Diceros bicornis minor: one gene and its partner. The protein of the gene in region 2 interacts with the protein of the main gene of each other region in a pairwise test. Links are inferred from orthologs where the notes say so. Each region holds a gene or a part of one and is shown on either strand. Other genes may lie near its edges.

Region 1 (7,666 bases), on a different chromosome or scaffold from region 2:
GGTATTAGTAAGAGTGAGACTTACAAAATTTTGTATGAATTGTTTACAATAGAATACCACAGACTTCCTCAAGATATGACAGGTGAGAAGGGGCCTGAAAGTTTGCATAAGTCAGTATTGAGGAACACTTCTTTAAATGGAAGGGAAATCTGTGGCAGACATACCACAGTCCATACCCTGCCCAGATACTTGGACATAATTTCCTCCAAATTGGACTGATACTCTGGGAGAGGTAATTTGTCAAGAAAAATTGCCCCATAGCACCAGAAATTGTGAGTGTTCTCAGGTGGTACAGCATTATCAATGCCTGATAAGGATTATGACTTGCAGCCAAACCAAGCCCTGAGCTGTTGGCAATTTTCTGGGGGGAGAAAATATAGGGAGAGGATGGAGGGTGCATGAGGCCCTGTACCTCAGAGGTCATGGGTAGCTCTAGATCTCTGAATGCCTGTGTCTGTGGCCAACTACCCAGCAACATTTAGACTGGATCTAGTTATGTCAGAGTGGCACAGGATAAATGACTGAAGATGCACTGAGAGGTGGAAAAAGACCTCTGCAAGTGTTGACATAAGAGAGGCTGTTGCAGAGGGGTGAGGGTGAACACCAGCAAAACAGGTTAAATTGGAATGACAGGTTATTTTCAGTGGAAATTGAGACTGTGTGAGAAGTTGGAAGGTCCTCTGGAATTCTTGCTCTGAGTAAAATTAATATGGAAGAGAAAGAAATGGGGGAGGGGGTTGCCTTTAAGACTCCTAAAAATAGTTTGAGGGCACACAGCAAGCAACTGAAAGTCCAGTTCAGGCCTTAAGTGAGGGGTGTGTGTGTGTGGCTCACCTCATGGCCATGTCTGTGACACTAAAGACTCTTGAGAGTGTGGACAGTTGGACCCTCTCTTCTGTCAGAAGCTTATAAGGGCTGAGAGTCCTTGCAAACTGTCATGCCCATTACTGTACAAGTGTGGAGGAGATAAGCAAAGCAGGTTGGCTGTAACACCAGGCAAACCACCCTCTTATGCTGAGAAAGTTTAGTCTATGTGACAGACAAAACCCACAACAATATGCATATTCTCAGCCTTTCAGTCTTTATTACCCTCTAGGAGGGAGACCTCTGTCACTGTCCTGGCACCTATGCAGACCAGGGGAATGAGGGACAGAAGCCAAGGAGCTGAAACCAGGACAAGGAGTTTCTTCTTGCAGAAGAGAAAAAGAATTCACCCTGGAAGTGAAGGGGTTGGGGGAGTGAAAAAGCAAGGGCCAGGCTTGAGAGAAAGTTTGGGGGTGTTTGGGGAGAATGGAAACAGAATGGCAGCAACAGCTATGCCATAATATGTGAGATGAATAGAGAAGGAGGGAAGAGAAGTTTAAGATGTTTTGCTCTGTGCTAGGAAGGCAAACTCCTTAAGAGTTTTACCAGAGACTATATTAAAAATCCAAAGTGCTTTTTAATTCTTTTTGGCCATTGGATGTGTTTCTTTTCAATGTGATATGCTGAGATGGGCCACAAGGCAACTCAGCTTCATAAAAGTTACATTTGGGGAGTATTGTGGATCTAAGGTGCAGCAGTCAGCTGTACCTTGATTTTGACCATCATTCTAGATTTGAGTCAAGTGAGCATCTTCATCATGACCATTGGATTTATAGTGCAAACAGTACACTGGCTATATAAAATAGAGACTGGAGATAAACTAAACATGAGATAGAGGAAAATGGCAGAGACTACTAAGAACCACAACTTGTGATGTTTGGAACTAGGTGTACCTGACAGAGACCTAAATCTATGCAGCATGGAGTGCCCTCCCCCAATTGGCTGGTGAGACTGGGATGAAGGAATATAACGGCTAAGGCAATTCCCATAGGATAAAAGAAAGGCAAAAAACAGAAGAGGAGCGTGTAGGGCTTATTTTTCTCTCTACGTGGCATACTTGCTATGTGTGAATACTCTAGTGACATGGCCAGAGTATCCATTTAGCCCACTTTTGCTTGGGAATGGATCCACTCAACAAACCCTAGGGCATTGGCATCCAGAGGGCCCAGCCCTGTAACCCAGCCAGCTGACTGAGGCTCCGCTTTGCTTTCTGCATCTGTCCCCCTTATTTTTCTGAGACTAGACCTTTCTTCCATTTTCGCTTGTCTCACTTTCCACACAGAATTCCTAAAATGATCTGGTTCTGAATCTGATGCACCAATGGTCTCCTCCTTATATTTTCAAGTCCTGCTACTAGTCCACTCCCCCAGTTCCCACCTACCCTTGGCTCTCAAATGTCTGACCTGGAACTTGACTGGATCAGCCACACCCCTTGATCTCTGCACCTGTTTCCTATGTTCTTTCATGCTTCTCCAATACTTCCCCCTCCCTCTAGGCTCAGACTCCCTGTACTCTCAGCAGACTTCATGCCAGTGCCTCTGGGCAGCATGATGTAATCCTATGCTGAAACCCTTGACACACAGGGTATCCTTAACAATAGTGGCAAAGGACATTGTATGATGGCATAACCCAGCTCCTACTGTCTAGGGGCTATGTTTAATGTATAGTTAAGCCTAAAATGGGAGGTCCTATACTGGGGACAGGATCACTCCTTGTAGATAGAAGGCAGGGACCCACCTGAAGGGTAAGGGAGCTGGCAAGATGAAATCATCCATGTGAAGTGCTGGTCAAGAGATGTGAAGTAACAGACCCAGACAAAAAAAAAAGAAAGTCATGTCAGTCTTTTCTGGCTACTGCAGAGCTCTCCTGGGAAGGATGAACAGAGGGTGGAACCTGTATGAGCTGAGAACATGCTTGCTGTAGTATGATCAGAAACTTATGCTGTGTAAGCTCAGCTGTTTTTTGTTTTGTCTCTGTTTCTAGTTTTCCTATAGTTTTTTTGGTAAAGTTTTTCAAAATACCAGCCCACTTCCGGTGTGCTTAGGGAAATCAAGGAAAAGCATTTCTGTCTTCTCCTGAACTTTAGGAATAACCTGTGGGGCACATGGTGGAGGTAGGAGTGATAACCAAGGTGAGAGCACCTCAAGTTTGTGCAACGAAGGAAGGAATGAACAAGCAAATGGGATTGAATCATTTGTTTTAGAAAATACAATACTGTAGGGTTTTTAATTTGTTCATATATTTGTTTTGGGGAAATCAAATTTCTAATGGTTGCATAATACTTTATTATATCAGCAATGCCTTAAACATTTTGTTGTTTAGACTATTTCCCCATTTATTTCTATTTTGACAGCAGCAAGACACGCATAGGTCAAACAGTTTTTTAGTGCCATAAAAGTTTCTCTGGGTCAGCCCCACTCTTCAGCATTAGAGTATGCAACCAGGGAAACACCAAGGTAATACAATTGCTATGGTTGAACCACTAGTATACAAAATGCTCACCCATTCCTAGCTTTTCCCCATCTTGAAGTGATGTGGCTTGTTTCTCCTCTCCAGATTTGTTTTTGTGAACTTCATTTTTGGTTTCTGACTACTTGGTTTCTCCAGTTTATTAAGGTCATTATTAGTTAGTATGCTGCTGCCCATGTGCTGTTTGCTTCTTAATCTGAAGTCATCTGTAAATACATTAAACTCAATTTTTCTTCTTCCTCCTCCCCTTCCGCTCCATCCCTCAAATAGGGAAAGGAGTCATCACACAGGTTGAGACACTCAGTGTATGCAGTCTGTACAGGGGCACTGGGCCTGCAGAGGGGGAATGACGCTCACACACAGTCCCCCCATCCATCCCTTACATTGTCAACAACTCACCCTTTCACCTGTGAGCTGACACAGAGTGTAATTCAGAGGTAGAAATAATATTATAGATTATACAGTACAATTCCCTAACAGATCAGGAAAATGATTTATTCAAGGTCTCTGAATTAATAAGCGGCAAAAACAAAACTGAATTCAGGTCTCCTAAAATCCACTACGTGTAGGCGGAGAGTTCCAGATGAGAGAATGGGACATAGTGGTTCTTGTTCAAGTATTCAGTCAACAAATGTATTGAGCATTTACGTACTTACTACGTGCCAGGCACTATTTTAGGTGCTGGGGATTCCGTGATGGAGGGCGCAGAGGTGACAAAAATCCCTGCCCGTATGGAGCTTTCGTTCTCAAAATTTAAGTACTTTGCCTTACCATCCTGGAAAAACTCCCAGAGCCCTGGGTAGGAGCAGTTGAGTCTCATATGGGAGGGAATCCCATCCTTTCTCAGCTCCTGTGCTATCAACAGCTAGAGGGGTGATTTACTGCAGAAGCCGAAGGGAGAGGGGAAACCTCCGTAGTCCCCTCCCCTGCCTCTGCATCGCCAACGCCGGGCGGGGCAGGCTCCAGGGCGCCACCGTGCCCCAGCTCAAGTCTGAGATTATTAGCATCAGCCTCTCTACCCTCTCTGCTCTCCTGCGGACGGCTGGAGGACAGAGAAGCAGGTCCCGGCTCTAGCGCCCTCTTCTAAAAAAGGACTGCAGGCGGGTGAAAATCCTTCCAAGGCAGTCGCGTTCAGAATCTAGTATCCAGCCTGGTAGAGGGACGATCTCTCCCAGACCTGAGGGTTTATGCAGCAAATTGCTCTCTCATGCTTCCCTATTAAACATTGCAGCCACACGCTCTTTCCAGCCTCAGCTGAGGTCACTGCAGCGTCCCCCCCACCCCGCACCCCCCAACCCCCGCTGGCTCAGACTCCAGAACTCCACTGCAGCTTCCCCACCATCCTCCTTTTCCTTCTCTACTTCCTGGTTGCCATGGAGACACACGTCATTTACGTGGCGTGCGTCGCCTTGGAAACACAGGAGCATCCGCGGCGCGGCTGGGAGACCCGCCTCTGCCGCTCCTACCACACTTCGCGAGCGCTGCTCGTTAATGGCCGGGGAGAGTCCCGAGCCGGACCCGCTGCTGGCCTCAGCCTCCACCCGGGCCCCTACGCGAGCGCTTCTGTGACTCAGGACACCGGCGGGCACTTGCTGCTGTGGCGTCCGCAGGGCGGCGCTGACACAGGCGCAGTTCAGGAGGGGAGGCAGGGCAGGGCGCTTTCGCCCCAGGGCGAGCCGGAGAGACGCCGGCCTTGGGACTCTCCTCGGGTGCTCGTCCCACCGGCGCTTCCCGGCCTCCGCCCATCCTGCCCTCGCCCTCCGCCCGGGACTTGGCTCCTCACTTCGGCTCCCCACCCGTCTCGGGAGCCTCCTCTTCCCTCGGCTCCTCCCCGCCCATCTGAGGACCTGTCCCCCTTCCCGCCCCTCCCCCACCCTGGACGCCGGGCTGGACCGGACCCAGAGCCGCCACCGCCCGTTTCTGCCACTCAATGGAGGACGGTCTGCTGGAGATCATGACCAAGGACGGCGGCGAAATGCCGGCACCTCTGGAGGTGTCCACCGTGCCGGCCGTGGGGGACGTGATCTCCGGGGAGTACAACGGCGGCATGAAGGAACTGATGGAGCACCTGAAGGCCCAGCTGCAGGCCCTGTTTGAGGACGTGAGAGCCATGCGGGGGGCCCTGGACGAGCAGGCCTCGCACATCCAGGTGCTCTCGGACGACGTGTGCGCCAACCAGCGGGCTATCGTCTCCATGTGCCGGATTATGACCACCGCGCCCCGCCAGGGCGGCCTGGGCGTGGTCGGCGGCAAGGGGAGCTTCTCGGGGCCCCCCCAAGAGACGGAGACCCCTTCGCCTGGGATCGGGGACAGCGATTTGCTGGGTCGCCATCCTGAGGACGAGGAGGATGACGATGAAGAAGAGGAAAAGGAGATGCCCAGCTCCGCCACACCCACTAGTCACTGTGAGCGCCCCGAGAGCCCCTGTGCTGGTCTCCTTGGGGGGGACGGGCCACTTGTGGAGCCCCTCGACCTCCCCGACATTACCCTGCTGCAGCTGGAGGGTGAGGCCTCTCTGTGAGGGGACTCGGAGGGGGCATTACTTTCCTGGGCTGGCTTTGGGTTTCCGAGTGCATGACGGAGGGGACTGAACGGCGCGGTGCAGCGTGCTTTACTCCGACCGCTGCTCTTGTGGGTCAGGCAGAGAGAGACTCCCTCGAGGAAGGATTTATAGGGTGAAGGACTTTGGGAGCATGGAGAATTCTTTCTGCCTAACCAAGCGAGACGTAGCAAACTGCGGAAAGGTGAGGTTCCGGGAGAGGAAGCGCCTACCTCTGGACTCCCATTCACCCCCTACTCTGCCCTTTCCCCCTTCCCAGCCAACAGGAGAACCCCCGAATTGTGTAAATAAAATTCTGCTTTTTCTATTCTGAAAAAGGACTTATCTAGGACTATGGCAAATAATCTCTAACGATTTACCTAGAAATTAAGGAATTGGGGGTATTCTGTTCTGGCAACAGAAAATTTACCCTTCTGCTGAAATCCAAGATATTCAGCGCTCTGCAGAAGCCTCTCCCCCTCACAGATCTCTGCGCCTGCTGATTGGTAAAGGAAGCTGGAGGAGGGAACTGCAGCCCTAGGAATCTGGGTGAATGGGGTTCCAAGGGCCCCTGGGCGGGGAGGAGCTGGCTATGAATGTGCATGAAGACATAATAGCTCAACCTCTAGGATTTTGCATGCAGAGCGGATCCTGCCTTGTCACTGACTTCATCTGGGATTGCTTTATCTACTCACTGGGGCTTAGAGAACAAAGCGCCCAGTTCACAGGCAGAGACTTGGGGGTGCTCAGCAACAGCTCAGATTTAGGGGACATTTGAGGGACTCTTGGGGGCTGCAGCCAAAAACCGTCTCTCTCCTGGCTACACCCGCTTAACTTCAGTTCTTTTTTCTGTCAATATGTCCCTGCCCACTGCCTCTCGGTGTTGCCTCCATAAAGTCTTGTGTGTGTTATGTGTGTCGACTTGTGTAGTAGTGTGTGAGCCCTGAGGGGCAGGGCTTGTGGCTCTGGTGTTAGGTTCAGGGGGCATCAGACCCTTTTGTGAGCCCCAGGCTATCATGGCACTTTCCCCTCTCTTTTCCTCTTTTCCCCCACAACCAGGGCATGGAGCATGTGGCTGTCCTGAGGTTCTTAACTGATGTGCCTCCCTCCCACCTCAAGTGGTGACTTTGTGTGCCCTTCCTCCTCCTCTGTGTATTCCTTCTCAATGCTTTCCTTGGTGTTAACCTTAATAAAGAGGCGTCATCTCCCCTCCTTGCTGACTGGTACTAGGGGGATGTCAGGGTGGGGCTTCTGGGCCCACTGCATGGACCAGGGCTTCCCTCCTCTCTCTTTGCCTCCAGTTTCAAGGAGTTAACCATCCTTGCCCTGGTTGGGACACACATTGCCAACTCTGTCTGCTTTCTCTTCCATCCTGGACCTTGACCTCAAGCTGGACTAGGGAAGGAGCGAGTACGTGTTGAGACTCCCAAACTAACAAGGGTTTTTAGTAGCCACAACTCCAGATGTGCAAGAGACTTCTTTTCAGTGAAGCACCTGACCCCTGGGAGATGATTTCCAAATTGGAGTCCTGGAATGGCAGGAATGACACCTGTTCCACTGGAGGGTAAGGGAGGGGTTCTTGTTTGGCAGGGACTGCTCTGGGAGTAGAGTGACACATCACAAAGGAAACCACAATAACTGCCTCAGGCCTCTAGTGGAGAATGCTGGTAAGGTGTTCCCCAGGGAGCTTAGACTGACATCAGCTCTAGTCTGCTCCCTTGGGTGCTGGAGATTTCCTGAGGCTGCCCTAAACAATATTTGGGAGAAGAATGATCTGGGGTGCTGTGTATGTGT
Region 2 (7,576 bases):
AGGTACTTTATAATAGTACCCTTATTTATAAACCTTCCTTGAATTATCCTCATTTGAACGTGCCGTCTTGTTTCACATTGGGACTCTAACTGATCAAGCATTCTTAATTAGTAGCTAGAGCACAGCGTCCAAATCCTTGTTCTGAAAATTTTATACCTACAGTCCTTACAAAAATATTCCCTGGGGGTCAGCCCGGTGGCATAGCCGTTAAGTTCGCACGGCCCACTTCAGTAGCCCAGCTTTCGTGGGTTCCGATCCTGGGCACAGACATACTTACCGCTCATCAAGCCGTGCTGAGGAGGCGTCCCACGTAGAAGAGCTACAACTCTACAACTATGACACACAACTACGTACTGGGGCTTTGGAGAGAAAAAAGAAAAAGAGGAAGATTGGCAATAGATGTTAGCACAGGGCCAATCTTCCTAAAAAAAGTTCCCTGATGTTACTGTCATCTCTTTATTTCTTCTTTTTTTTTTTTAAACTTTATTTATTTATTTTTCCCCCTAAAGCCCCAGTAGATAGTTGTATGTCATAGTTGCACATCCTTCTAGTTGCTGTATGTGGGACACGGCCTCAGCATGGCCGCATCGGTGCACGCCCGGGATCTGAACCTGGGCCACCAAGGAGCGGAGCACGTACACTTAACCGCTAAGCCACGGGGCCAGCCCTCATCTCTTTATTTCAATCCACTGGTTACCTTTATGAAGAAACCATGTTGTACATCATATTATATAAATTTTTCTTCAGTACACTTAGACTAGAAAAATATTCTCAAATTCACAGGTAAATCTTTTTGCATATAGCTTCTCTACATAAAATGTAATTTACAGAAATATATAAATAAGACTTTAAAGTAAATAGGTTAATTTTTATGGTTTTAAATATTTCAATAGCTAATAACTTAAAATTACTTCCAGGTGTATGAGGAAATCTGTACTTCAGTACTGCAAACAAGCCATCGTTACTCAACGTACACAGCTTACCAGAGAACACAGTTTCTAACTCGTTCCTGTACACTGAATGTTTGTGTCCCCAAAATTCTTATGTTAAAACCTAATCCCCAGTGTGATGATATTAGAAGGTGGGGACTTGGGAGGTGATTAGGTCATGAGGATGGAGTGCTCATGAGTGGGATTAGTGCCCTTGTAAAAGAGGCCCCAGAGAGCACCCTTGCCCCTTCCTCTGTGTGAGGACACAGCAAGAAGATAGCCATCTATGAACCAGGAAGCGTGCTCTCATCAGACACTGACTCTGTCAGCACCTTGATCTTAGATTTCCCAGCCTCCAGAACTGAGAGAAATAAATTTCTGTTGTTTATAGGCCACACAGTCTAGAGTATTTTTGTTATAACATGTAACCCAGATAAACTAAGCCACCCTTGAAACACAAGATTTAATTGTACAATTATTAGCAAACATAAATCATTAAAAAAGTACAAACTCCATAATGCTAATACCTGTATTAAAGATAACAAATACTTATTGTTCAGTTACAATGTGCCAAGCATGGTGTTAATGTTTTCATATAATTTAATTCTCAACGCAAATTTTTGAAGTGTGCACAACTCAACCCCATTTGGCAGAGGAGGAAATGAGCTGTAAACGTCCAATGTCCCTGCATCAGCAAGCAAAGGACTCTAGGTTCAAATCCCAGCGTCTGACATGGAAGTCTGCACTCTTAGCCATCAATAAAGAATCCGGGAACAACATCGAAGACCACAGAAGAAGCAAAAAATAAGACCTTTCCAAAGCAAATGATTTCTTTTATCCTGTTACCTGCACTCAAAGAGCAATGTCAAAATCTAAGTAAGCCTGGAAAAATTACTAAGAAAAAAAAAGAAAGAAAAGAATGCAATAGATAACTCTCATAGAAAACCAAATTTCTTGTTGTTTAGTAAGCTTACTTTTCTGTGGATGGTACACAAGGAAGGGTAGGAAACAAGTGGTGGAAATTGCACTATTTTGGTGTTAGTTACATTTTATCCCTGCCTGCAATTCCTGAAATGACACTGTTGTATTTTTATTCTAACCCAAATTGCAGTTAAGTGAAAACTTTCCTCTAATATATTGGCATACTTGCTGTAAGAGGCCTGAAGTTGAGCATGTACTAGCTGCTCTAAGCATACAAATTGAACATTCTCCCTGAAAAAGAACAGGCTGAAAAATTGGGTCTAGAGATAGTATAACTGATCCGCTTAACAGTTCCTAATAATTTTTCTGTAGCTGTGATTTTGCATAACAGGTTGCAAAAGTATTTTTAGATGAGACTGTTACTCAACAGTCACTTCTGGTAAACCCCTTTTTACACCATCACGCTGTCCTGCGGAACTGTTAATAGTGAAACAGAAAAGCATAAACAGAATGTAACAAATAAGCAGTGCCTTTTCCAGACAATAGTTTAGTCATAAGCCTTTAATTATTGATTTTGAATTTGAACAACTAAATTAGTTCTCAACAAGTGTAATTTTCACTAGATAGACTAAACTTTTTTACATTAATATTTTGTTCATGTAGATGAATTTGTGCTACCGGTTTATAAACTAGGTATTTCTATACCAAAAAGCCTTACTTTGGGGCTGAGACATGGTTTTCGTCTCTTTTTCCTCCTCTTCATCCATTTTGTCCCCTTGCTGCAGCTGCACGTCTTTACTTGTCTGATTTCCCTTTGGGTCTCTCTTCAGACGGACAGATTCCCTCCTCAAAGATGGCTCATAATTCCTGTGAGTTCATGGACCACAGCCAGCATCCTTCCGTGATCCTAAAGGAAATATAATAGTACAATATTGGCACCACAAAAACCAAACGTGTTTCAAATGATGAATATGTTTTTAAGATGAACTCACTAAAGTGATACAGTGAAAACAGATCGACATCTGAGAAGTGACCTCACGGATTCAACAGACAGTCTTTCCTTGAGCATACCTGCCTTTGGGATGATGATCTTGTTGAGGACACCTTGGAGAAGCTGACAGATGTTCCTGTCAGTCCACAGCTCCTTACCTTACTTCTGTGCCCCGAGTATGAGGAGGAATCTTTCACAGGAGTTGACACGGCGTTGCATCACTGGCTCTGGGTGTTGAAAGCAGGTCACTCCAGCTGATTTCTTTAAAGCCTCTTTTCTACAAGTTGGTGATGGGCAAAGGTGAATTATGAAACAGGAACTTTTGCCACAGCTCTACATCCCCAGTCACAAAGAAACATTTACAAAACAAATGCCCTCATCCAAATCGGAATTCATGATTGATTACAGTGCAAATGTGAGTGAGGGACATAATCTATTCACGCCTTATTTCTTTCATGGTCCTAGTACACCACCTTCCAACTTAAGTAATGAGTGGACCCTTCTTCAAGGAAAAAGAAGATACGGCACCTGGTGTTAACAGGTTATTTCTACTCTGTTAGCTGAATATAATATAAATACAATATTAGTTACATAAACATGGTATAAATTCCTTATGGCTCCAAACCAATCTACACATAAAAACTATAAAATTAATAATATTAAAATAAACAGCATTGATTTAATATCGTTTTGATGAAGTGAAACCAAAATTGTTTGTTCTAAAATTAAAATGTGCATTGGGGTATTTTGTATTTCACTTGTCATCTATACAATTCCCTTTATTTTGAAGACAATAGACACTCATTTGAATGATCTTCATCATCGTTGCTATGATTTTTCCTTTTAAAGTACATGCATCTTGAATCATCAATCCATGAATTTTTTTCAGCTTTATTGAGGTATAATTGACAAATATAATTGTAAGATATTTAAAGTGTGCATTGTGGTGATTTGATATATGTATGCATTGTGAAAAAATTCCCACCATCTAGTTAGTTAACATATCCATCACCTCCCATATTTATCTTTTTTTTTTTGAAGAGAACATTTAAGTTTTACTCTCTTAGCAAATTTCAGTTGTATAATACAGTGTTATCAACCATAGTTACCACGTCTACACTGGATCCTCATCCAATTCATCTTATAGCTGAATGTTAGTACTCTTTTACCTACCTTCCCTATTCCCCCCACCCCCCAGCCCCTGGCAATCCCTTTTCAATTCTCTTTGTATGAGTTTGACTCCTTTTTTTTTTTAGATTCCATATATAAGTGATACCATGCAGTATTTGTCTTTCTCTATCTGGCTTATTTCACTTAACATAATACCCTCAAGTTCTATCCATGTTGCTATAAATGACAGGATTTCCTTCTTTCTCATGGCTGAGTAATATTCCATTGTACATATATATACTATATCTTCTTTATTCATTCATTTGATGATGGACATTTAGGGTGTTTCCATATCTTGGCTATTGTGAATAATGCTGCAATAAACATGAGAGTGTGGATGTCTCTTCGAAGTCCTGTTTTCATTTCCTTTGGATATATACCCAGAAGTGGGATTGCTGGATCATATGGTAGTTCTATTTTTAATTTTTTGAGGAACCTCCATATTGTTTCCCATGGTGGCTGCACCAATTTACAATCCCACCACCGGTGCCCAAGGGTTCTTTTCTCCACATCTATGGCCAAAACTTATTAGCCCTTGTCTTTTTGATGATAGCCATTCTAACAGGTGTGAAGCGATATATCATTATGGTTTTGGCTTGCATTTTCCTAATGATTAGTGATGTTGAGCACAGGTACTTTTCATGTACCTGTTGATCATCTACATGTCTTCTTCTGAGAAATATCTATTCAGTTCCTCTGCCCATTTTTTAATCAGATTGGTTTTTCTGCTATTGAGTTGTATGAGTCCTTTATATATTTTGGATATTAGCCCCTTCTCAGATAAATGATTGGCAAATATTTTTCCCATTCCATAGGTTGCCTTTTCATTTGGTTGATGGTTTCCTTTGCTGTGCAAAAGTTTTTTATTTGGTGTAGTCCCTCTTGTTTATTTTTGCTTTTGTCGACTTTGCTTTTTTTTTTTTTTTTTGCTGAGGAAGATTCGGCCTGAGCTAACATCCACTGCCAATCTTCCTCTTTTTGTATGTGAGCCACTGTCACAGCATGGCCACTACAGAAAAGTGGTGTAGGTCCGCACCCAGGAACCGAACCTGGGCCACTGAAGCAGAGTGAGCTGAACTTAGCCACTAGGCCACTGAGGCTGTTCCTTGTTGACTTTGCTTTTGGTGTCAAATCCAAAAAATCATTGCCAAGACTGATGTCAAGGAGCTTACCCTCTATGTTTTCTTCTAGGAGTTTTCTGGTTTCAGGTCTTACGTTTAAGTCTTTACTCCATTTTGTACTGATTTTTGGGCATGGTGTAAGATAGGGGTCCAATCTCATTCTTTTGCATGTGGCTGTCCAGTTTTCCCAACACCATTTATTGAAGAGACTGTTCTTTCCCCATTGTATAGTCTTAACTCCTTTGTCATAAATTAGTTAATCATATATGTGTGAGTTTATTTCAGGGATCTCTATTCTGTTCCCTTGATCTGTGTGTCTGCTTTTATGCCAATGCCATATGTTTTCATTACTATAATTTTGTAATAGAGTTTAAAATCAGGAAATGTGATGCTTTTACCTTTGTTCTTTCTCAAGATTGCTTCTGCTATTTGGGGTCTTTTGTGGTTCCATACAAATTTTAGAATTATGTGGCCTATTTCTGTGAAAAATGGTGTTGGAATTTTGATAGGGATTGCATTGAATCTGTAGACTGCTTTGTGTAGTATGGACCTTTTCACAATATCAATTCTTTTCAATCTATGAACATGAAATATCTTTCCATTTAGTTGTGTTTTGTTCAATTTCTTTCACCAATGTCTTATAGTTTTTAGTGAACAGATCTTTCACCTCCTTGGCTAAATTTATTCCTAGATATATTTTTTTTGATGCAATTGTAAATGGGGTTGTTGTCTTAATTTCTCTTTCTAATAGTTTGTTATTAGTGTATAGAAATGCAACTGATTTTTGCATGCATATTTTGTATCCTGCAATTTTACTGAATTCACTTATTAGTTTCAACAGTGTTTTAGTGGATTCGTTAGGGTTTTCTACATATAATATCATATCATCTGCAAATAGTGACACTTTTGCTTCTACCTTTTCAATTTGTATGACTTTTATTTATTTTCTTGCCTAATTGCTCTGGCTACGACTTCCAGTACGATGTTGAATAAAAGTGAAGAGAATGGGCATCCTTGCCGTGTTCTTGATCTTAGAGGAAACGCTTTCAGCTTTTCACCATTGAATATGATGTTAACTGTGGGCTTGTCCTATATGGTCTTTATTATATTGAGGTACATTCCCTCTGTACTCACATTGTTGAGAGTTTTTATTATGAATGAATGTTGCATTTTGTCAAATGCTTTTTCTGCATCGAGATGGTCATGATTTTCATCCTTTGTTTTGTTAATGTGGTGTATTACATTGATCGATTTGGGGATGTTGAACCATCCTTGCTTCCCTGGAATAAATCTCACTTGATCATGGTGTGTGATCCTTTTAATGTATTGTTGAATTTGGTTTGCTAATATTTTGTTAAGGATTTTTGCATCTGTGTTCATCAGGGGTATTGGCCTGTAATTTTCTCTTCTTGTAGAGTCTTTGTCTGGTTTTCATATCAGGGTAATGCTGGCCTTGTAAAACAAGTTTGGAAGTGTTCTCTTCTATTTTTTGGAAGAGTTTGGGAAGGATAGGTATTAATTATTCTTTAAATGTTTGGTAATATTCACCAGTGAAGCAACGTGGTCTTGGACTCTTGTCTGCCGGAAGGTTTTTTATTACTGAATCAATCTCCTTAGAAGTAATTGATCTATTCAGATGTTCTATTTCTTCATGATTCAGTCTTGGTAGGTTGTATGTTTCTAGCAATTTATCCATTTCTTCTAGGTTGTCTAATTTGTTGGTATATAATTGTCTCTTATAATCTTTTGTATTTTTGTGGTATCAGTTGTAACATCTCCTTTTTTATTTCTTTTTTTTTTTTTTGCTGAGGCAGATTCACTCTGAGCTAGCATCTGCTGCCAATTTTCCTCTTTTTGTATGTGAGCCACTGCCACAGCATGGCCAATACGGACGAGTGGTGTAGGTCTGCACCCAGGAACCAAACCCGGGCCGTTGAAGCGGAACACACTGAACCTAACCACTAGGCCACTGGGGCTGGCCCTTCTCTTTCATTTATGATTTCATTTATTTGAGTCCTCTCTTTTTCTTGGTGAGTCTAGCTAAAGGGTTGTCCATTTTGTTTATCTCTTTAAAAAACTAGCTCTTAGTTTCATCGATTTTTTTTCTGTACTGTCTTTTTAGTCTCTACTTCATTTATTTCCACTTTGATCTTTGTTATTTCCTTCTTTCTACTAACTTTGGGTAGTTTGTTCTTCATTTTCTAGTTCTATGAGATGTAAAGTTAGGTTGTTTATTTGAACTCTTTCTTTTTCTTAATGTAGGGGTCTATTGCTATGAATTTCCCTCTTAGAACTGCTTTTGCTAATCTCATATGTTTTGGTATGTTGTGCTTCCATTTTCATTTGTTTCAAGATATTTTTTGATTTCTCTTTTGACTTATTTTTGACCCATTAGTTGTTCAGTAGCATGTTGTTAAATCTCCACATATTTGTGAATTTTCCAG

The links.
Region 1: the proteins of STX11 (region 2) and CCDC184 interact in binary tests that used the Homo sapiens proteins (3 or more experiments, as listed by UniProt). The two-hybrid records come from large-scale screens. The link is inferred for Diceros bicornis minor from reciprocal best matches to the Homo sapiens genes STX11 and CCDC184.

The regions. Positions count from the first base shown.
Region 1 is NC_080756.1:21,742,873-21,750,538, reverse strand, and holds CCDC184 (coiled-coil domain-containing protein 184), read left to right. Parts: upstream 1-4,926; 5' UTR 4,927-5,263; coding exon 5,264-5,854; 3' UTR 5,855-7,077; downstream 7,078-7,666.
Region 2 is NC_080778.1:23,344,386-23,351,961, reverse strand, and holds the start of STX11 (syntaxin-11), read right to left. Parts: upstream 3,093-7,576; 5' UTR 3,000-3,092; exon of another isoform or gene 2,922-2,999; intron 2,758-2,921; 5' UTR 2,618-2,757; coding exon 2,569-2,617; intron 1-2,568. UniProt on the Homo sapiens protein: SNARE that acts to regulate protein transport between late endosomes and the trans-Golgi network.